2 linked regions of the Saccharomyces cerevisiae S288C genome follow. The gene in region 1 interacts genetically with each later gene. Each region holds a gene or a part of one and is shown on either strand. Other genes may lie near its edges. The genes, in order: DNF3 and ATG15.

The links.
Region 2: mutations in DNF3 (region 1) and ATG15 together harm fitness more than expected from each alone (negative genetic interaction), as found in Saccharomyces cerevisiae (2 studies listed by BioGRID).

What each region holds. Positions count from the first base shown.
Region 1 is NC_001145.3:578,385-586,013, reverse strand, and holds DNF3 (aminophospholipid-translocating P4-type ATPase DNF3), read left to right. Parts: upstream 1-2,092; coding exon 2,093-7,063; downstream 7,064-7,629. Other genes in the region: INP2 (Inp2p), read left to right, coding at 1-1,743; type I HSP40 co-chaperone HLJ1, read right to left, coding at 7,622-7,629. UniProt on the Saccharomyces cerevisiae protein: Catalytic component of a P4-ATPase flippase complex which catalyzes the hydrolysis of ATP coupled to the transport of phosphatidylcholine and small amounts of phosphatidylethanolamine from the lumen to the cytosolic leaflet of the trans-Golgi network and ensures the maintenance of asymmetric distribution of phospholipids.
Region 2 is NC_001135.5:235,295-239,396, reverse strand, and holds ATG15 (triglyceride lipase ATG15), read right to left. Parts: upstream 2,184-4,102; coding exon 621-2,183; downstream 1-620. Other genes in the region: peptidylprolyl isomerase family protein CPR4, read right to left, coding at 1-342; GTPase-activating protein SED4, read left to right, coding at 3,075-4,102. UniProt on the Saccharomyces cerevisiae protein: Lipase which is essential for lysis of subvacuolar cytoplasm to vacuole targeted bodies and intravacuolar autophagic bodies. Involved in the lysis of intravacuolar multivesicular body (MVB) vesicles.

The sequences.
Region 1 (7,629 bases):
ACTTCTCATTTTTTGAATGATATGAATCATTACAGGTTATCACTACATCTTGATCAATCTATTATGAACTTTCATAAAAGCTCAACTTTGTTAAAGAATGTACCTCCCAAATCTGTACCATTTATGGCGACAAAATATGGTAAATTGGCGGTAGCAGAGGACAAAAAATTATATTTCAGACAAAATTTCAACTACCTTTCGATGATTATAACCTCTTATCGAGTACTTACACAGTTGAAAAAATACTGTAGAAAAAAAAATAGTCCAGGTCTGAAGAGAGTTGTAATTTTAATACTCGTAGCAGTGTATTTATCAATTCAGCAAGAATACTTTCGAAGACATTTGATTTGCTATAAAACCTTATTAAAGGTACGGAAAGTGCTCGAATCATTACAACAAGTGGATGTAATGATTCATAAATATCATCTTCGATTTAAAGAAATAAAAAATCATAGTTTTATATCAAGAGTGTCTCTTATTTCAATTGCTGACGAGCACTCATCTGTGATAAAAGAGCTCCTAGTATTCTCAAGTGATGCACTGTTTTATAAACTCAAATCAATCATTCCAGATATTGTCATCTTTAGCGATACAAGTGAGCTATCGAAATACTGTGAATTATACGGTATCGATGTACCAAATCTTTACTATAATAATACTACCACAGTAAAAGACCTTGATGGTAAGCTTTATCGTCTCAAACTGCTAAAGAAATTTATGCTCTGTTGTTTGCTGTCTTTAGATATGACAGGAAACGAAAATCTTTCAAATGTAAACATGAGAAACGCACTAAACAAAATCTTTCCAGATTACATGGCAAGGGTGCAACTCAAAAAAAAATATAATCCAATAGGTACATTCCAAAATATAGTTAGTCTATTAAGAGGATTACATTCACTACTCTCCACTGTCCTGGTGTCTTTGAATGACCATAAGCAAATATTGTATGCATTTCCTGAAGAAACATCAACTAATACTGGTTGTGAAAGAGCAAATGTATGTTCATTTTCAAAGAATGATAAATTGTTTCAGGCACTTAATTACTTAAAAATGATCGAGAACAATCTATTAGCTATTGACATTCGAAATGGCATAACAGAGAATGATAGGAACATCATTGAGGATAAGTTGGAGGAGCTCATTACTTTCTGGAAAACCTCGAAAATTTGTGGCAATATTTCTAGGATACAAAAGGTATCCCCAACCAATACAATCAACCATGGTTTCCATCTGGATATCCTCAAAGGCAGAAAGTCACCCCGTTCTTCGTCAGTACAAGGTCTTAGCTTAGAGAGGAAAGTTGACTTCATTGATGTTGCTGAATCGGTGAATGACTCTTTTGAAAACGACACCGAACTAGAGGAATATGAAGACTACGACTGTCAGGAGGAATGTTCTGCCGGTTCACGCCAAAATCACCGCGTAGATTTTATCGGAAAGGATAGTTGTAGGAAACCAGATTTCAAGCAACTTTCTGACAACGAATTACGACGCAAGTTAGATGAAAGAATTTTGAAATTGGCTCAAGAAAACCGTGAAGGCAGGGAAAGGCTAAGAACTGCAAAGTCCTTTGAATTGCTAAGAAAAGCTCAGGCTTCCATGTCCGTAAAGTTTGGCTTTCAAAAACCATTAAGAGACGATGCCTTTCTTGAGAGCAGGCCTCTCAGCAAATGCAAAGTATCTTCGGAAGAAACTATCCCATTTTTGTATGAATTAAAAGGATTACTAGGAAATGATTCATGATAATATATTTTAATATGTACTTTGAAATAACTAATTACACTTTAATCATATTTTCTAAATAAGCAAATGACGGGCTGCGCAGCCGGGTTATTTTCGACCCCAGTCTGTCAAGTGCTTTAAGTAAGCGAATATTTAACAAAGAAGAATTCAATATTGCAGGAAGTCTTGAGAAAAGATCAAGTGCCAAATTACCCCATTGCTTTTGGACTATTCATTCACTCTTTTCTTTTTTGTTATTTCTTTTATTTGACCTTTATCGTTATATACACATAGCTTCCATACAGCAAATAAACATCCTAATTGAAGTAGATAATTTAATTCCATTCTTTATTAAAAAGAAAAAAATATTATGGGCATAGCTGATGGGCAAAGAAGAAGATCTTCATCACTACGAACGCAGATGTTCAACAAGCATTTGTATGATAAATATCGCGGAAGAACTGATGATGAGATAGAGTTAGAAGATATAAATGAGAGTAAGACGTTCTCCGGTAGCGATAATAACGATAAAGATGACAGAGATGAAACAAGCGGCAATTATGCTGCTGAAGAGGATTATGAAATGGAAGAGTATGGTAGTCCTGATGTGTCATATAGCATTATCACTAAAATACTTGATACTATCCTAGATCGAAGGAGGACGTTCCATTCGAAAGACGGTAGACATATTCCGATTATATTAGATCATAATGCAATTGAATACAAACAAGCTGCTACTAAAAGGGATGGTCATTTGATAGACGAAAGGTTCAACAAGCCTTACTGCGACAACCGAATAACTTCATCAAGATATACATTCTATTCCTTTTTGCCTAGACAGTTGTATGCACAATTTTCAAAGTTAGCCAATACTTATTTTTTCATTGTCGCAGTATTACAAATGATACCTGGATGGTCTACAACTGGTACTTATACAACTATTATCCCCTTATGTGTATTTATGGGTATATCCATGACAAGAGAGGCTTGGGACGATTTCAGGAGACATCGTTTAGATAAGGAAGAGAACAATAAACCAGTGGGAGTGTTGGTTAAAGATGGAAATAATGACGCACAAGAAGTTTATACACTACCAAGTAGTGTTGTCTCATCCACTGCATATCTAACTAAATCGGCCGCTGCTGAAAATAATCCACCTTTAAACGATGATCGGAACTCCTCTCAAGGACACTTCTTAGACACGCACTTCAATAACTTTGAACTACTCAAGAATAAATACAATGTTCATATTCATCAAAAGAAGTGGGAAAAACTTCGTGTTGGAGACTTCGTACTTCTCACACAAGATGATTGGGTACCTGCAGATCTGCTTTTATTGACATGTGACGGCGAAAATAGCGAATGTTTCGTTGAAACGATGGCTTTAGATGGCGAAACAAATTTGAAAAGTAAACAACCCCATCCAGAATTAAATAAGTTAACCAAAGCCGCATCAGGTCTTGCAAATATTAATGCTCAAGTTACCGTGGAAGATCCCAATATTGATTTATATAATTTTGAAGGTAATCTTGAATTGAAAAACCATCGCAATGATACCATAATGAAATACCCTCTAGGTCCTGATAATGTCATTTATCGTGGTAGTATTTTGAGGAATACTCAAAATGTTGTTGGTATGGTCATTTTCAGTGGTGAGGAAACAAAAATCAGAATGAATGCTTTAAAAAACCCAAGAACGAAAGCCCCTAAGCTACAAAGGAAGATAAATATGATTATCGTGTTTATGGTGTTTGTCGTTGCCACAATATCTTTATTTTCTTATCTTGGCCATGTTTTGCATAAGAAAAAATATATCGACCAGAACAAAGCATGGTATCTATTTCAGGCAGATGCTGGCGTAGCACCCACAATAATGTCTTTTATCATCATGTATAACACTGTGATTCCTTTGTCCCTATATGTAACAATGGAAATTATCAAGGTAGTCCAAAGTAAAATGATGGAATGGGACATAGACATGTACCATGCAGAAACGAACACGCCATGCGAATCGAGAACTGCCACCATTCTGGAGGAATTGGGGCAAGTATCTTATATTTTTAGTGATAAAACCGGAACGCTGACGGATAATAAGATGATATTTCGGAAATTTTCTTTATGTGGATCATCTTGGCTGCATAATGTAGATCTCGGTAATTCTGAGGATAACTTTGAAGACAACAGAGACAATACGAACTCCTTGAGACTACCACCAAAAGCTCACAACGGCTCTAGTATAGACGTTGTTTCCATTGGAGATCAAAATGTTCTTGATCGGTTAGGATTTTCGGACGCACCAATTGAAAAAGGGCATCGTCCATCTTTGGACAACTTTCCTAAATCTAGGAATTCTATTGAATATAAGGGAAATTCATCAGCAATTTATACAGGCCGTCCCAGTATGAGATCACTTTTTGGGAAAGATAATTCACATCTAAGTAAACAAGCTTCGGTTATTTCACCCTCCGAGACATTTTCGGAGAACATTAAAAGTTCGTTTGATTTAATTCAGTTTATTCAAAGATATCCGACCGCCCTGTTTTCTCAAAAGGCTAAATTTTTCTTCTTATCATTAGCTCTTTGTCATAGCTGTCTTCCCAAAAAAACTCATAACGAATCAATAGGAGAAGACTCCATAGAGTATCAGTCTTCATCTCCAGATGAATTAGCACTAGTAACCGCTGCTAGAGACCTTGGTTATATTGTATTGAATAGAAATGCACAGATTTTGACCATTAAAACTTTTCCAGACGGTTTTGACGGTGAAGCAAAATTGGAAAATTATGAAATTTTGAACTATATTGACTTCAATTCTCAAAGAAAGAGAATGTCTGTTCTTGTACGTATGCCAAATCAACCAAATCAAGTTCTTTTAATTTGCAAAGGTGCTGATAACGTTATTATGGAGCGTTTACATGATCGCGAATTGGCTGCCAAAAAAATGGCAGACATATGCACCAGTACCAAAGAACGTAAAGACGCAGAAGCAGAGCTGGTTCTCCAGCAAAGAAAGTCTCTGGAAAGAATGGTAGATGAAGAGGCTATGGCCAGGACCTCATTGAGAAATTCTTTGTCTAGCGTACCGAGAGCAAGTTTATCATTGCAGGCAGTGAGAAAAAGTCTTTCAATGAAGAACAGCAGGACCCGTGATCCAGAGAAACAAATTGACTCCATTGATCAATTTCTAGAAACGGTCAAGAAATCTGATCAGGAGATTGGCAGCGTTGTAAATAAAAGCAGGAAGTCACTCCATAAGCAACAAATAGAAAAATATGGGCCGCGAATTTCGATAGATGGAACACATTTTCCGAACAACAATGTCCCAATAGACACAAGAAAAGAAGGACTACAGCATGATTACGATACAGAAATTTTGGAGCACATTGGAAGCGATGAGTTAATTTTGAATGAAGAGTATGTTATTGAAAGAACTTTGCAAGCCATCGATGAGTTTTCGACTGAAGGCTTAAGAACTCTGGTCTATGCTTACAAATGGATCGATATTGGGCAGTATGAAAATTGGAATAAACGCTATCACCAAGCCAAAACCTCCCTTACTGATAGAAAAATCAAAGTCGATGAGGCAGGTGCAGAAATCGAGGATGGTTTAAATCTGTTAGGGGTAACTGCAATCGAAGACAAGTTACAAGACGGCGTTTCAGAAGCTATAGAAAAGATCAGAAGAGCCGGTATAAAAATGTGGATGCTAACAGGGGATAAAAGGGAAACGGCTATAAATATAGGGTATTCGTGTATGTTAATCAAAGATTATTCTACGGTAGTCATTTTAACTACTACTGATGAAAATATTATATCAAAGATGAATGCGGTTTCTCAAGAAGTTGATTCCGGAAACATAGCACACTGCGTTGTTGTAATTGACGGTGCCACGATGGCCATGTTTGAAGGAAATCCTACATACATGTCTGTATTTGTTGAGCTTTGCACTAAAACAGACTCGGTAATATGTTGCCGTGCTTCACCTTCTCAAAAAGCCCTTATGGTTTCCAACATAAGAAATACCGATCCAAACTTAGTCACGTTGGCAATAGGTGATGGTGCGAATGATATTGCCATGATACAATCTGCCGATATAGGTGTTGGAATAGCCGGTAAGGAGGGATTGCAAGCATCTAGAGTATCTGATTATTCTATTGGCCAATTTCGGTTTCTCTTGAAATTGTTATTTGTTCATGGGCGTTATAACTATATTCGCACCTCCAAGTTTATGCTTTGCACGTTTTACAAAGAAATTACGTTTTACTTTACGCAGTTGATATATCAAAGATATACAATGTTTTCAGGCTCCTCTCTATATGAGCCATGGTCATTGTCCATGTTCAATACTCTATTCACATCACTACCGGTTCTATGTATTGGTATGTTTGAGAAAGACTTGAAACCAATGACTCTACTAACAGTCCCTGAATTATATTCGTACGGGCGCCTTTCACAAGGTTTTAATTGGTTAATATTCATGGAGTGGGTTATCTTGGCAACTACGAATTCTCTTATCATTACATTTTTAAATGTTGTAATGTGGGGTATGAGTTCTCTTTCAGATAACACTATGTATCCTCTAGGTCTCATCAATTTCACAGCCATTGTTGCCTTAATTAACGTTAAATCCCAATTTGTTGAAATGCACAATAGGAATTGGCTGGCTTTTACTTCTGTAGTTCTATCCTGTGGAGGTTGGTTAGTGTGGTGTTGTGCCCTTCCTATTTTGAATAATACTGACCAAATATATGATGTAGCATATGGCTTTTACAATCATTTTGGTAAAGACATTACATTCTGGTGTACTAGCTTGGTGTTGGCACTGTTACCTATCACTTTAGATATAGTTTACAAAACATTCAAAGTTATGATATGGCCATCAGATTCTGATATTTTTGCTGAGCTGGAACAAAAAAGTGATATCAGAAAGAAGCTGGAACTAGGAGCCTATAGCGAAATGAGGCAAGGATGGACGTGGGATAAAGATCCCAGTACTTTCACAAGGTACACAGACAAAGTTCTTTCAAGGCCAAGAACTAATTCACGTGCAAGTGCAAAAACTCATAACAGCAGCATATATTCAATGTCAAATGGGAATGTAGACCATTCCTCAAAAAAAAATTTCTTTGGAAACTCTTCTAAAAAGAGCTCTGAACGATACGAGGTATTACCTAGTGGCAAGTTAATCAAGCGACCATCCTTGAAAACACAAAGCAGTAAAGACAGTATTGGCGGCAATATAACTACTAAACTGACGAAGAAACTGAAGCTTCCATCGAGGAATGTGGAAGATGAAGATGTGAACCAGATTATTCAGGCAAGGCTAAAGGATCTGGAGTAATTCTCGTGATCTTGTTTAATTACATTATTGAGAACATTTTTATATATATACCTTTTATTGGAAATTAGTAGCGAGCTTAGAAGACTTACTTGATTTGTTGAGTCGAATATTATTTCGGCATCCACACATTAGAAAATTAACAAGATGTATTTTGAGAGAAAGCAAGGCACAACGCATGGGAAATCTTCACAAATTTTAAATACTATCTATAAACTAACTCTAATTATAAAAGTGGCTTGATTACTTTCGGTGTCAAAAGAAAAAGTAAATGTATGGCGTAAATGCTATGATTAGTTATCAGAAAATAAAGATGTTTATAAGTATTATACTGTCTGATTTAATTTCCTCGATATATTAAAATTCTAATACCATTATGTCCTTCTGGTAAACTGTGGAACAAAATAAAACATAGCCAGGAAGCCTGAAGGAATGACCTAAATGTCATCTAGTATACAAATGCGTTTTTTCAATTTTGCTTGCTCCTTGTAGTTTTATTTTATAGTACAACTTTGACTAACGTTGGAAAATAATAAAAAAATGACAGTAAAAATATTGTGTTTAACTAA
Region 2 (4,102 bases), on another chromosome or scaffold:
GTTGATTTTGGTCTTACGGTACGAGTAAGTATGTATATCATTGGGATCTTTCCCTTCGATAACTGCCTTAACACCATGGGCCAGCATAGCAAAGTTGTTCACAGTTTTGGGCACGACAGTACCGTACAACTCAAAAGTCAGATCCGCCTCTTTCATCGACTTCGAAACGGGATCAAAGTATTCGATAGTGATTATTCCACGATGTGTGGCGGGGGGACTGGGCTCATATTTTTTCTGAAGATCAACATCCTTGGAGGTAATCTGCTTCCCTGATGAAGGTGCAGCGTGGACTTGGCAGAGTACTAAGGAGTACAGGCAGAGCAGCAAGGATTTCAACCACATGTTGTTGCTGAACTTATTCGAAAGTCTATCTATTTTCTTCGGTCTTCCAATCTACGAGTGTGTGAGTTTGCTAGAGAGCAATTGAAGCAAAGAATATGTGACCTATTAATTGCACCTGACTGACGCCTTTCACTTTAAAGCAGTATTAATATATCTTCTCGTGTCGTTTAGCTGAACCTTTAAGTTGTCAAAATGATACATTATTTATCAGACAATGGAAGAAAAAAAGGGCGCATAGGCCCTAAAACAACACTAGGGTCATAATAGATGTATGGGTCTTACAACTCGTATTTGGTGCAGAAGCCAAGCCAATTGCGGCCTACACAGGTAGATGAAGAGGTAGTAGTAGCAGTGGTGCGAGTCGTCGTGGTTGGTGCAGCGTGGCTTTTAGTCTTGGTAATGAGCCTCGATGAGGATTCCCAGTCTCTGCTTGGAATAAACTTCCAGTTGTAGCAATCTACGCAGGGCTCTGGTTCAACGCACTTGGCAGCCTGCTCGTATCCAAGGAGAACTTCGTCAATGACTTTGTGGATTCTGTGGTTGAACATGTTTACACTCCAGCCCTTGTCGTTGACCACATCGTAGACACAGACTCTACCAGTGTGGCACGCGGTTTCCATAGCGTAGCCCACCAGTGAGCAACTTGAACTAGCTCCGTTGCATGTACCCATGAAGATTGGGTCTGCGTTGTGACCGAAGTGCCAGATACCCTCCATGTATGAGGGAAGTCCCGGTGGGAATGGTAAGTGAAGTCTTTTTGAAGGTAGTAGCTCTCCAGGGGACTCGAATGCGACCGCAGGCAATCCAAAAGTGCGGCCCAGTAAACTGGCCAATGCGCCTCCCAGTGAGTGGCCTGTGACCCATATGGCCGCATCGGGGTATTCTTTGAGGACGCCTTTGTATATGTCAACGACTGCAGAGTAAAATCTATCCTTACGTCTCAGTTCCTTTTCCAGGCAAGACTCATCGCATATATACGACTTCACATAGCAATCGCACACGGTAGTCCACAGGTAGCTCACTCTTGCACAACAACACGAAAATAACAAATTATCGTTGATCTTGTCGTTTCCAGTTGTCTCATCTTCGCCAGACCCTGGCAAACCCTGAGCGCTGGTTCCCTTTATCGAGAGTACCACGATATTCTCCACTTCATTGTAAAAGACGTGACCACGTATACCATCACCATCCCAACCAAAATCTTCCGGCTCTGTTTCATTCCACGGCTCCGTGACGTTACGCCAGTCTCCCGTTTGCGGTATTCTCACGTAAGCATTAGACGACATTAATGCTAACGACACTACTGTACCTCTATCTGTGATATTGGGTGCCACAATGTCATCATCTATCCACATGGCGTGTTCTTCCTCCTCCGTCATGTATGTTTCTCCGTAAATGTACGACTCTATGAATTCAGGATCTCTTTCCTTCATCCGCTTCATCAATAGCGGCATCCTTCGTAGCTCAAACTCAAAATCGAATGGGTTAGTGGTGGCATATTCGGCATTAGTAGTCCATAGGGGTTCTTGGTCTTCGAAATCCTGTCCTTGAGTTGTGGTTTCTTGATACAGCATTCCAGCGGCAGAAATAACTTCTGGAGTGACCTCCAGCCTCTGGTGTAGCCGATGGTTTGCTCCGACGCCATGCCTGTAGATAGACTTAAGTCTAAAGGTTCCATCAGATTTTTGATCCATGGCACCCCTGGATGAGCTCTTCCCTACCGATAAATAATCCGGTAAAGCAAAGTAGTAAGCAATAAGGCAGAGCACTGTAAGCGTTAGAATGCATCCTAGATGCAAAGGAGAAGCAAATCTCTTTCTTGAAGGGCTTTTATGCAACATTCAATAGAATATTTCCCTTGTTTCCTTTAATTGTAATGCCTAGATCAGTTCTCAATCACGATAACAATTTTCTGAGCAGCGGCGTACTTTCTTTGACTTATCCAAAAGGTTGACACTGATTTGAGTGTCTCAAAAGCCTTTAAATGATAGAAACAAGGCTTTTAGGCTAGTCTTATGTAATAGAGAAAGTTCATCTATATCTACAGATTCTTATTATGTACTGTTGAACAAAGGTGCGGGTAACTGCGATCACACAATCACTTTTTTCCGGAAACGGCTGTCTTCAGCGAACAACAATATAGTAGAGATACTGTATTCAACTGGAAATGCTTTCCCTTTTGCCCTATCATTATTTTCTTTCCGATGTTATGCTTATTATATCTGTGATTGATAAGAGAAAAAAAAAAAAGTGACAGCTATAGAGAAAAAAAAAAACCCTTAGAGAATCCTACCTGGAATATATTTAATGAGCAAGTCTATCTGCTGCACATTGGTCACGACACATGTTAGTGTATATGGCCCAGCCTATGTATTTACGATTTAAATCACCTTGATAATTATTAAACGATATCCAGTTTATTTCGTATTATGTTACATCTGTCAAGCCCTTACTTAGCAATTTTGAGCCCTAGTATTTTTGACCACATTTGTAACTGCCCTATTTTATTATCCTTTTAGCCCTCCTGTCCTTTTTTCTTGGTTGTAGTAATTTTCATTTATATCTCGAGAATTGTACAGTGTAAATGAGAACTGTGAACGCTTCAAGTAACCTACGCTTATAGCTGCTTCGATCGACGGAGGCTGTTTGTCAACAAGCATCACAATTCCCTACGATACGTCCTCTCTTCCTTTTTTTTCTCTCCTTTTAAACTTAGAAAAACTAGCATAATAATGAGTGGCAACTCTGCAAACTATGACGTCGGATATCCGATATATGGTGCTAAATTTATAAATGAAGGCACTCTACTGGTGGCTGGTGGTGGAGGCCAGTTCAATTCCTCGTTTCCAAACAAAATTACAGCTTTAAAGGTGAACTTCCAGAAAAAGAAACACATTAGAAGGTTTCGTGAGATCACATTAGATTCGATTGACGATGCGCCCACTTCATTGGATTGTAATAATAACCTGATTCTAGTTGGTTGCAATGAACTGTTTAATGATTCCTCCATGGAGAACGTTAACCACCACTTGAGGAAGTTTGTGTTTGAACAAGAACATCTAAAATTCGTGGCCAGTATTGATTTCAACAGAACTACAGACCCATCCGTTTTCACTAAGTTTGTTTACATTAATCAAAGGGCCACAGTAGCTGCAATTGCGTCCTCTGAAGTGCCCACTGTGATAAGAATCATTGACCCGCGTAATTTGACGGAAAATTACGAAATTGAAACGGGTAGGGAAGTTAATGATTTGCACTTCGCCCCTAACGGTATTCTTTTGTCATATATCACTTCTAATTCTTTGGAAGTAGCGTCTGTTAGGGACGGAAATTTTGTAGCAAGGAAAACGGATTTTGATAAAAATCTTGTTCTTTCTAATATCAGGTTTCTCAATGACAATACGCTATTAGTGGCAGCATCATTATCGAACTCTGATGGAGTTTCCTTGTTAAAACTAGGTGTGAGTTCCAAAGGTGTTAAAATTTTAAAAACAGCATCCTTCATGTTCGATTTGAATGGAATAACATCGATGGATGTCTCCCCAAATAAGAAGTTCGTTGCATTATCATCTAACGATAACTTGGTTGCCATCGTCAGCGTTGAAAAGCTAAAGCTTGTTCAGTTGGTTCCAAGAGTACATGAATCTACTATAACAAAAGTTACTTTTTCTCCAGATTCTAGATATTTGGCAAGCACTTCTATGGGGAACACGATCAACGTTCTGAAGCTTTCCGGTACATCGTCATCAATTTTACGAAA